Oryzias latipes: one gene and its partner. The protein of the gene in region 1 purifies or fractionates together with the protein of each later gene. This does not show direct contact. Links are inferred from orthologs where the notes say so. Each region holds a gene or a part of one and is shown on either strand. Other genes may lie near its edges.

Region 1 (4,880 bases):
ATGCTTATTACTTCTCTGGATACTATTCCTGCTTTTTTATTTATTTCTTTAATTATTCTTGCTTTTTACTTTTATTTCTGTCTTTTTTTTCCCTGTGACTAACCAACCACTTTACTGATAATTGTCTAACACACCAGGGTACTGGAAGTTACTCCCACACAGACACGGCCTGCATGCCGCTCACAGCTCCCGTTCTCACGCTCTGCTCTCCGCTTGTTGTTTCTCTCTTTGCAGCGGCTTTGATCCAGCAGGCCACCACAGTGAGGAAGAAGGACATCAGGAAGTTCTTGGACGGCATCTATGTGAGCGAAAGGACCACTGTGGTGGAGTCAGCCAGTGAATAAATGTTCAGATTCTGCTATGACCAATAAAATAACCTTTTTCCAGCTCGATTGATCTCTTGTTGTCTGTGTAATTGTTCTTTGCTTGATTAGAGAAAGCTGTGCATTTAAGGTTTAAGTCATCAAGAAGGTTTTAGCAGAAAACTGGACTCGGCTTTGATCCAAAGTTCCTAAAGACATAAAATGAGAGTATTGAGAAACTCATCAGTGTGACAGTATAAAAGAAGCAGGTGAGGGATTATTTATCAAAATATAAGGACAGCTTTAAATTGAATGATTTTCACAAAAACTTTGGGGGAAAACTGGTTTCCGTCATGCATCATTTACATGGATCAAGTCATTTTAAACATTTTCTGTCTTATTTTACATTAACCTTTGGTTATAAGATGGAGTTGTCTTTGTAAATGTTGGACAGACGGAAATGTGACAAATACATTTTATGGTTAAAATAAATTGTCCAGCTTTCTGTTTTGTGATCTCGACTGTCATCCACTGAAGCAAAGTGGAGCAGTTCCATCATCTGCCCATTTTAGTCCTAATTTAAGGCTGTTTATCTGAAAGTAGCTGAGCTCCGTTTGTTGCCGACATCTAATGAAAGCTTTATTAAAGACAACAGTTGTGATCTGAACTAAAATGTGGTAAAGTTTGGTCAGAGGTATAAAATTAGTCACACATACTGAAGGAATTGTTGAATGTTTTTTGTAAAAGTGTTCAAATTGGCCTTTATCTTTCAAAAAAAAAAAATTATCTGACAATCCTCTGTAAACAGCTAAAAATGTCTTCAATTTAGAGGCCAGCCATGTCAATGAATTGTTTATCTTGCCTCCTAATATTCTGGACATAATTTTTCTATTGTACCGTTTTCAAACTTTATATTTATTCTAGTGTAAAGCTGAATTATAAATACACAATAGAAAGTATACGCAGGCTTATTTGTGAGGAGAGATTTGTATTGACTGGACTGAAAATAAAAGTGAGAAACTGTTTATGAGGCACTTTAAAAGAAAGGGAAAACAAGCTTTACTACACATGAAAATGTCAAAAGCATTTTTACTTTTTTTAAATAAATCTTTAAAGTTAACTTGGTGCAGATCATTTATCAACTAAGATGTAGCTAGAAAACCACTTAAATTATCTTTTTAGCGGCAGAAAGACGTTTATATTCAAATGAGAAGTTTTGTCTAAAATGATTTTAAATGTATGTGTGATGAATTTCTCAAGACGCTGGTTGGATGACGCAGTGACGCAGCCAGCATCCGGTGCGTCATCTCCTAGCGACTGCAGACTTGGCGCCAAGTAGTTGGGAGTTTTTATTATTTTGCTGATAACAAACTGTGAGGTTTCCTTGTGGAATTATCTCCAACATGGTATGTTACACACCGTTATGGTTTCCACCTCACACAGAAAGCGAACGCATGTGAGCAAAGTCTGACATTGAGGAGAAACTGGATGCTAAGCAGATGTTGTCGCGCGCTTCTGCTGTGGGTTAGCTAAAACAGTTTTAAGACAATTGACTTGTTGACCTACATTTTTTATTTTAATATAGGAACAGGTTATTGCACAGCAGCTATAATTTACCGGATGTTTTAATAATTAAATCCGCACATTTGTAGTTTAAATTTAATTAATCCTTGAAGAGATGCAGGGATTTTTTTTTTGCACACTGAAGTACAGATTATTGATTTGTTAAAATAGCCTCAAAGTTCCTTTGCTTCTGCATTCAGGATATAAGGCGGTTCTTTGGACCGACATCAGGGAAACCTGCGGTGCAGAAACCAGCGCCAAACACCAAAGCAGAGGAGAAGAAGAACCTCAACTCCTCTGATGTGAAAAGAACCAAGGTTGATACTCTTGTGTTTTCATTTTTACTTCTACACTAAGTGCTGTTCCTGCACATGTTTGGGATTTTGAGCTTCTCTTGTGTTATCTCATGTAGGTCAAAAGCTCCAAAACAGAGGAGCGACGCAAAGACAGTGAGAAAAAGCGCAAGAAGTATTCTGTCATAGCATCAGGTAGGAAAGACTCTGGATGACCTAATGGGCGTGGCTTAAAGTCACGAGATGACCTCTGTGATTTAACAGCACTGGATGGGGGGCCAACTCCAGGTCTCCCTGTGCTGGTCCCCAGCCCGGATAAAATACAGGGTTGTGTCAGGAAGGGCATCCGGCCTAAAAAAAAGTCTCTGCCAAACCAAATGTGTGACTCAGTGAAAGCTGATTCGCAGCAGCGACCTCTGACAGGATGTGTCAAAAGGTGAACAACGAGTGTAATATGTCTTTGAGTGGTGCAGTGTCTCTCAGCATCACTATATAATAATGTCAAAGAAAAAGTGAGAGGCTGGCTGAGAGGTTCATATGTGATGCAGGAAGCATCAAGCAGAAATAAACATACATAGTTATACCAAACCTACCTACCAAACCACAAGTTCATTAGAAAATAAAAGAAGATTATGCTATTGTCTTGACATTATAATTACTCCTAATCATAAATAAACATAGTTGCACGTATGCATACAGTATGACACACATGACACATTAAATAGGATTATTAAATAATAGTTTAAAATAGCTTTAAAGGCAGAATTTATACAATCACAGCCCTATTATGATTTACTTACCTTTAAAGAAGGTATGAAGTTCCTTCATAAAATCAACATTTTATTTTAGTGTCAAAGGAAATTGTGAATCCTTGACTTAAAACAGCTAAAAGGTAAATATTATTTCAGATCCTATTTTTAAAAAGCTTGAAGGATAAATTCTTGTTGTTTTGTTCAGATTCAGAAGAAGAGGAGAAACCTGCAACAAAGTCTAAGAAATCTTCTAAATCGACGAGCAGCAAAGCAGAGCCTCTTCCTAAAAAAGACCCAGTGCAGTACGTCTCTGAAACAGGTGAGGCCTTTCTTCATCCAACGTCCTCCAGATTCAATAAGCTAAAAAGCCGATTTTCTGACGTCTGTTTTTGTGCTTTTAGACTCGGACAGCGACAACTTTCAGTCGCTGAAGAAAGGAGCCAAACCCAAACAGAACGGTTCTCCTAAAAGCAATAAGGCGGACGCAGAACGTTCTCGCTCAGGATCCAAAGCCTCTCCTGTCACAGGAAAATCTGGGCTAAAGAGTCCCACAACCCCCAAGTCTGTTGCACCACCTCCACCCAAACTAACTCCTACCTCAGTGGCGGATTATTTCGGCGGTGCTGCTATTCATCGCTCAGAAAAGAAGCTGGTAGCCAGCGCCAAGAGAAAAGCTGTGAGTGCTGATGAATCCTCCTCATTCTTCTCCTCCAGCTTTCAGGACTCTCATTTGTTTTACAACAATCCAGCTTCACTATAACTCCTGTCTTCCAGCCAACACAAGACTTTGAGGATCTGATAAGTGATGAGGAAATCGCCCGACAGTTGCAGGTGGAAGAAGAGATGGAGGTGAGCAGATCATCAAACACTCCGGCGTAAAAACAGAAGCAGAAGTTAGTGATTCAGGAATCTGTACACTAAGTTTACTCCTAGAGTTCACTCTAAAGAAAGTGCTCGGATCAAAACACAGACTTCCTCTAGGTTTGAAACTCTATCTTTTCGATTTCCAACACTTCCAATCAAGCTTTATTTATAAAATCCTTTTCATACAAAAGCAGCTGAAAAGGCTCCAAACATCAAATGTGAAACGTCATAGAGCTTCACTCCAAATGATACCACGGGTATAGACTCCAGGCCTCATTAACCAGTGTCCTACTTGTTTTTTCATCCAAGCTGCCGTTGTAGCTTTTAATTGGCAAAACAAACCTGATTCAGGTAACCATGGCAACAGGCATTTCAGGGTTTCTGAACAACAGGTTGCCGGCCCTCGAGGGCTCGAGTCCAACACCTCAGGTGTAGAAGATCCCAATGAGGAAAAGGACTGGAATAAAAAAAAGTGTAAGAAAACAGAACAAATGGAACAGAAAAATGAATAGAAAACATAAATAGCGACTCTGACAAAGACAGAAGACATCTGTCGAAACATGTAAGTTATGTGAAAAAATACAACCGTGTCTGATAGTAGAACATCAACTTTGGTAGAATATAGGGATAGAATTTTAAAAATTGCACAAAAATTGTCAAATTTGAATTGAAAAAAATGTAATTTAAAATAATAGAAGTAAAAAAATAAAAAAAAATTAAAAATTTTAGCTATACGTATGTTTATGTTATTATTAAGATTGTCATTTGTTCTCGGTGTATAAATGCTGAACTGGATCGCTACACTTCTTCTCGACGTAACTTATTCATTTTTTTTTTTCCACTTGTTCTTCATTTAGCTGGAAAAACAAGTCCATGAGGATGAGGAGTTTGCCAGGACGCTCGCCTTGATGGACTCGGAGCCGCAGGCCAAGAAGGTACTGAGAACAATCCCAGAGGAACATCTTCACTTTAGTGGAATCCTTTAATGAGCATTTAAAACTTTTTTTCATTTAGGCTCGTAAAAACGCGGATGAAAAACAAAGCACAACTCCCAAAAAGAGTGTTGGCGATGCTGCTGCAGAGGCGAGCAGCGTGACGAAGGTCAG
Region 2 (5,026 bases), on another chromosome or scaffold:
TACTTTTATCGAGGCATCTGATTGGTCGGCTCATGACTTCAATAACTCGCACTACAGAAAATACACCATAAAAAGAAAATGGGATCATCAAGTAAAATTATCCTAACAAATAGAATGACTGTTTGTTTTTCTAAGGAAGTCTATGGGATTTTGGCTTCTTGGGGCCATTGGGTACTGCCCATTTGAAGCATCAGGTGGTTGGGGGTGGGGGGGTTAGTTCCATTCTCTTATGTAGTTGATGGGTGTAACCCGTTTTTGTCCATCTGGGATAGGCTCCAGCAACATTGTGACCACAAAAGGGATTAAACAGGTTTAGAAGACGGATAAATGAATGGTTTGAAAACCTAAACAGTTCTTTGTGCTCATTTTTTTTTAATCACAAACCCTTTAACCTCCCTTTAAAAATACATTTATTGTCAACCTTCGACAGTACAAGTTACATTTTCCCAAACTTTACAACAAAACTTTCATTTCCCAGAATAAGAGCAACAATGAAACGTTTGCCAACTGCTGCTGATGCTGTCAACAATCTGTGGCATGAAGCTCAAGTTTCCGCCTCTGGGATCGTTTGTCTGTAAATCCTGCAGGGAAACGCGTGTCTTGTCTCATCTGAGCTTCGCAGCTATGGCTTCTGAACTCAGACAGATTTAAGTGGACTTAAAGCTAAAACATCATAGCATCCAGACCGTCCTCCATAAACTTCTTGTAGATGGCCATGAACTTGGCGGTAAAAGCCTCCAGGTGGTAGATAGCTTTGCTGCCCAGCTGGAGTCTGTGTTCATAATAAGCTGCCATGTGGGCCACCTCCGCCTTCAGCTGACCGTCACAGTTACTCAACAACTCCTTCACCAGGCCCTGTTAGATTATTAAAGGAACGCTTGATATAAGAACAGACCTTTGGTCATTTTAACACTTGTGATGGCAGAAACGCAGGGAGCGCTCACCTTCATGATGATTTCAGGAGGGATGCAGTGAGTCAGCAGCTCGTACAGCCGGGCGCGGACTTCCAACAGCCTAGAAGAGGAACAGGTGGTGATTGAGAACTTGAAACCTCACAGTCTGATTATCTCCTTAAAAAAACAAAACGTCAAACCTCTGAGGATTCTGCTGGCTGACGATGGCGTTCGCCGTCTCCCTCAGGTAGACCTCCCAGTCTGTCTCTGGGACTTCCTGATCAGCGGAGAACGGATACCTGAAGATTAAAAGAGTCCCATTTAGCGAACATGTTTAGTTTTTGTTTCAAATATAGACAGATGGGGTGACAACTTACTGCTGCACCCTGCAGGCCTCACACATCAAAAGCGCTTTGCGCAGGTTGCGGCCGGATTTTTCACTGATTTGTTTGGCCAGCTCAGGTGGCAAATTCAGACCCTCTTTTTTACAAACTGAAGTTAAAACACTGCAAACCTGGAAAAAGGAGGACATATTGCAGATGCAGACAAAACAGGGGGCAACTTTTTATTTTTATCTGAACCACTTCCTCCTCACCTCCTCTGTGCTCGGCAGAGGAACTCTCACAGCCAGACAGCGACTTCTGATTGGCCCGATGACTTTGGAGGTGGATGTGGAGCAGAGGATGAGACGACAGGTGGACATGTACTTCTCCATGGTTCGACGCAAAGCATGCTGGGCATCTTTTGTGAGTCTGTCCACCTCTGTTAGTATCACAACTAAGGAGAAAGATTTTTTTTTAGTTAAAACAAGAAATTAGGTTACAAAAGACAACAAAAACTATATTTTGGGACATTGCATTAGTTTTTAACCCATTTTTAACCCAAAACTTTATTAACAAAACTCAGCATTGATATATAGCATCAAAACACAGAAAAAGTTGACCAGAGGGGCAAAAAGAAGAAACAACAGTTGAAAAACAAGATAACAGAACATATTTTGATAAATCACAAAAATAAAAACAAGTTAAAAAAAAGGTTGAGCAGGGCTATATTTACATATATGAATTAAATCTTTGGCTAAATTAGGAATTAAATAAGTGGATCCAGTAAACCCCCAAACAATGTTTAGAACAGAAAGAAACATCAGGAATAATATTCTTTTTGCAGCAAAATATTGTAGTTTGTGTACAAGTCCAAACCCCTGCTTCCATCTCCAGGTTCCACTGAGACAAGGCTACGTTAGTCTGATTCACCTTTGAACTCTCGCTGCGTGCTTGACTGGATTTGCTGGGACTGAGCCACAGTTTTAATTAGCTCCTGGATCACCACACGGTCCTGATTTCCTGCATCACTGTACCACACAGAACAGATTAGTAGCAGAAACTCAAAGACAAGGCTGGAATAAAAAGTGTTAAAAAATCCAAACAAGATACTTTTGAAATTTTTTGGTCAAAAACAGTTACCTTGGGTTGACCTCCAAGTGATAGTTGCTGGCAATGGTGTTGATCTCAATTTTCTTCTTTGATGGGGCCTGTAGTCAAAAATCAGGAGATGCAACTATATTTAATAGTCAATACATCCAAATATAAATGTCTATATTGCTGGTAATTGGAGGTTTTTGTTCTCCTTGGTTCCTCCTCTCACCACTATGGTGTGGTGCTCTATGCGGAGCTTCTCCACCCCGGCTCCGTACAGCTCCCTCAGCAGACACATGATGCGGGTTTTCTTTCCAGCTCCTGAGGGGCCGTACACCAACAAGTGGGGAAAGTCTCCACATTGAACCTGCAGCCAAATTACACCAAATAGTTTGAGATTGTGTTTTTTTAGTACCAGTTTTTCTTAGACAACACTGGGTTATGATCCCTTGGGACATATAATGTCCAGCATTTGTTGGGCTTTTTTCTTTGATTTGTTTCATTTTGTTTTCTGGTTAAAGATTTGGTTAATTTTTTTCCCTATATATATATTTTTTTATTTTACTGTACAGTGTATGTTAAAAGGCGGTTGTATTTAAAGCATAGATAAAGATGGGGTAAATGTAACTGATAACGTGTCAGTCGTCGTTACTCTGATCTCAATTACAATTCAAGTCAATGACTTAATTCATGCGTTTACCCTTTGCAACGTAACTGAAAGGTTATTGTCAAGAATAGTAACTTTTCCAAACATGCATTTACAAAGTAACGCGGAAATAAGGAATTAAATTAATATTTTAAAAAAACGGTGATATAAACAAAACGAGGAGAGGAGGGAAAATAGCAGCTAACCAAACCATCAATCAACAACAGATTTCTTGAAGTTTCCTACCAGGTTTTTCAGCTGAGTAGCTTGTTCTTTATGATAATCGAGCTTCCCCAGAGAGGTCGGTCGATATTTGTCCACCCACAAACTCATTTTGTAAATAAAGTCTAGTAAATGTTGCTTTGACAACGAATAAGGCGTCAGCAGGTCAATCTCCCGCGAATTATTTCCCACTCGGAAGTTACCAACCGCGAGGTTTTGTTTTCTCGCGAGATACGGCAAACCATGAGGGTCTAAATAGAGTCAGCTCGGAAAACTACAGTACTGTCCAAAAATGATTTTATTTAAATCTTATGTCAAAACTCACCAAGACAACTCATAATTAGGCTACAAAACAATAACACAAGGACAAAATACTCTAATTTATCTATGTGCCAATTCATTTTTAAATTAGAAATAATATTTAAGGTAAAAAAATAAAAGAATGGAGTTTAAAGACCGACAAAATCGTGTTATTAGTCTTCATTCAACTTTGTTCTATGGCATCCAGAAAGCTGACTGGGACATGCATTTCTTTTGCCTGACCTCTGTAATGCCCACACAAACACGTTGTGTGTGCATACAACAACCTCAGAAGGATGAGACTTCTTGTTTTGAAATGACAATCAAGTATGTCTATGACAACAATTCAATGAAACCCAACGAGGAATGTGAAGCAGTTAATCCATTTTCTACTGTTTTATCCCTTTTGGGGTCACGGGGTTGCCACAATCACACACCCATTCACTCTCACACTCACACCTAGGGACAATTTAGAGTTGCCAATTGACCTATGAAGCATGTTTTGGACAGTGGGAGGAAGCCGGAGTCCCCGGAGAAAACCCACGCATGCACGGGGAGAACATGCAAACTCCACACAGAAAGGTCCCCCATTGATGTTCTGTTTCAGTTAATCCATAGGAAATAAAATGTCACCTTGTTACTGAGCACCCTCAGTTTTAGAAGGTAGGAGCTGGTTGCAGGTCATATTGACCCAAGTAAACCAGCATTTCCCCGCTACTGTCTGTGTCTCATTAATTCATAAAAGAAACACAGATTAGAAAAAGTAAATTGTGTAATTAAGAAGGCATTTTTATTTTTTCTTCCCACAATTTGCAGAGAGTTGCAGAATGTTAATTCCATGTTTTTGTCCTGCAGGAAAAACGCAAAAAGGACATACTTTGTGGCTTATTGGATTTACTACACATGAAGGTTTGTTGAGAAAATTGAGATTTTCTCAGTTTCTACCATAAACACGTTTAAGATAACTCGGCTCACATGTTTTGGTATGAAATTCCTTTTGCTAAGAGTCTTCATAATATTTTTTACATAATGTCCTTACTGCAAGCAATTGCTTGGAGAATATACGGTCATAAATCCGTATTTTTTTTCTCCTTTCTGCTTGGACGTTTGAAAATATAGGTCTTCTTCAACAAAATAGAGGTAAATAGGGCTCCAAGCAACAGGAATGTACTTTGCAATGCATGCCTTAACGTGTTAGCGTAGCTTGCATTAAATTACATGTTTGAGTTTTATTAACAAAGATCAATCATTATAATGATAAATTCAGGTCGAAGAACTGTAGAATGAGCCTCAAAACATCCAATGAGGTTTTTGAACATTACATTTCCATAATCAATGTAAGGCTTGATTCCAATTTTTTCTTTAATTGTTTAACTTTCTAATCATTCAAATCTATATTATGTGTGTGGCCCATTCACAACAAACTCCAACTCCAGTAATTCATGGAAAGTGAGGATTCAAGCCTCTAGTTTGGCTTATTTTCAGTGATGTTTTCTTGTTTCTTGTAATGTTCCGTGTCTCCTTGTAAGTCACATTAGGATCAAGTTTCT

The links. Proteins that work in one complex are often made in the same cells at the same time.
Region 2: the proteins of rfc1 (region 1) and rfc3 fractionate together in Homo sapiens (co-fractionation; 4 studies listed by BioGRID and IntAct, with this or other methods). This does not show direct contact. The link is inferred for Oryzias latipes from reciprocal best matches to the Homo sapiens genes RFC1 and RFC3.

The regions. Positions count from the first base shown.
Region 1 is NC_019859.2:13,023,194-13,028,073, reverse strand, and holds the start of rfc1 (replication factor C subunit 1), read left to right. Parts: upstream 1-1,578; 5' UTR 1,579-1,705; coding exon 1,706-1,708; intron 1,709-2,065; coding exon 2,066-2,182; intron 2,183-2,277; coding exon 2,278-2,353; intron 2,354-3,115; coding exon 3,116-3,229; intron 3,230-3,311; coding exon 3,312-3,586; intron 3,587-3,684; coding exon 3,685-3,759; intron 3,760-4,631; coding exon 4,632-4,709; intron 4,710-4,788; coding exon 4,789-4,880. UniProt on the Homo sapiens protein: Subunit of the replication factor C (RFC) complex which acts during elongation of primed DNA templates by DNA polymerases delta and epsilon, and is necessary for ATP-dependent loading of proliferating cell nuclear antigen (PCNA) onto primed DNA.
Region 2 is NC_019872.2:9,959,918-9,964,943, forward strand, and holds rfc3 (replication factor C subunit 3), read right to left. Parts: upstream 3,401-5,026; 5' UTR 3,288-3,400; coding exon 3,201-3,287; intron 2,676-3,200; coding exon 2,538-2,675; intron 2,425-2,537; coding exon 2,357-2,424; intron 2,245-2,356; coding exon 2,147-2,244; intron 1,671-2,146; coding exon 1,489-1,670; intron 1,408-1,488; coding exon 1,271-1,407; intron 1,193-1,270; coding exon 1,094-1,192; intron 1,015-1,093; coding exon 945-1,014; intron 856-944; coding exon 664-855; 3' UTR 394-663; downstream 1-393. UniProt on the Homo sapiens protein: Subunit of the replication factor C (RFC) complex which acts during elongation of primed DNA templates by DNA polymerases delta and epsilon, and is necessary for ATP-dependent loading of proliferating cell nuclear antigen (PCNA) onto primed DNA.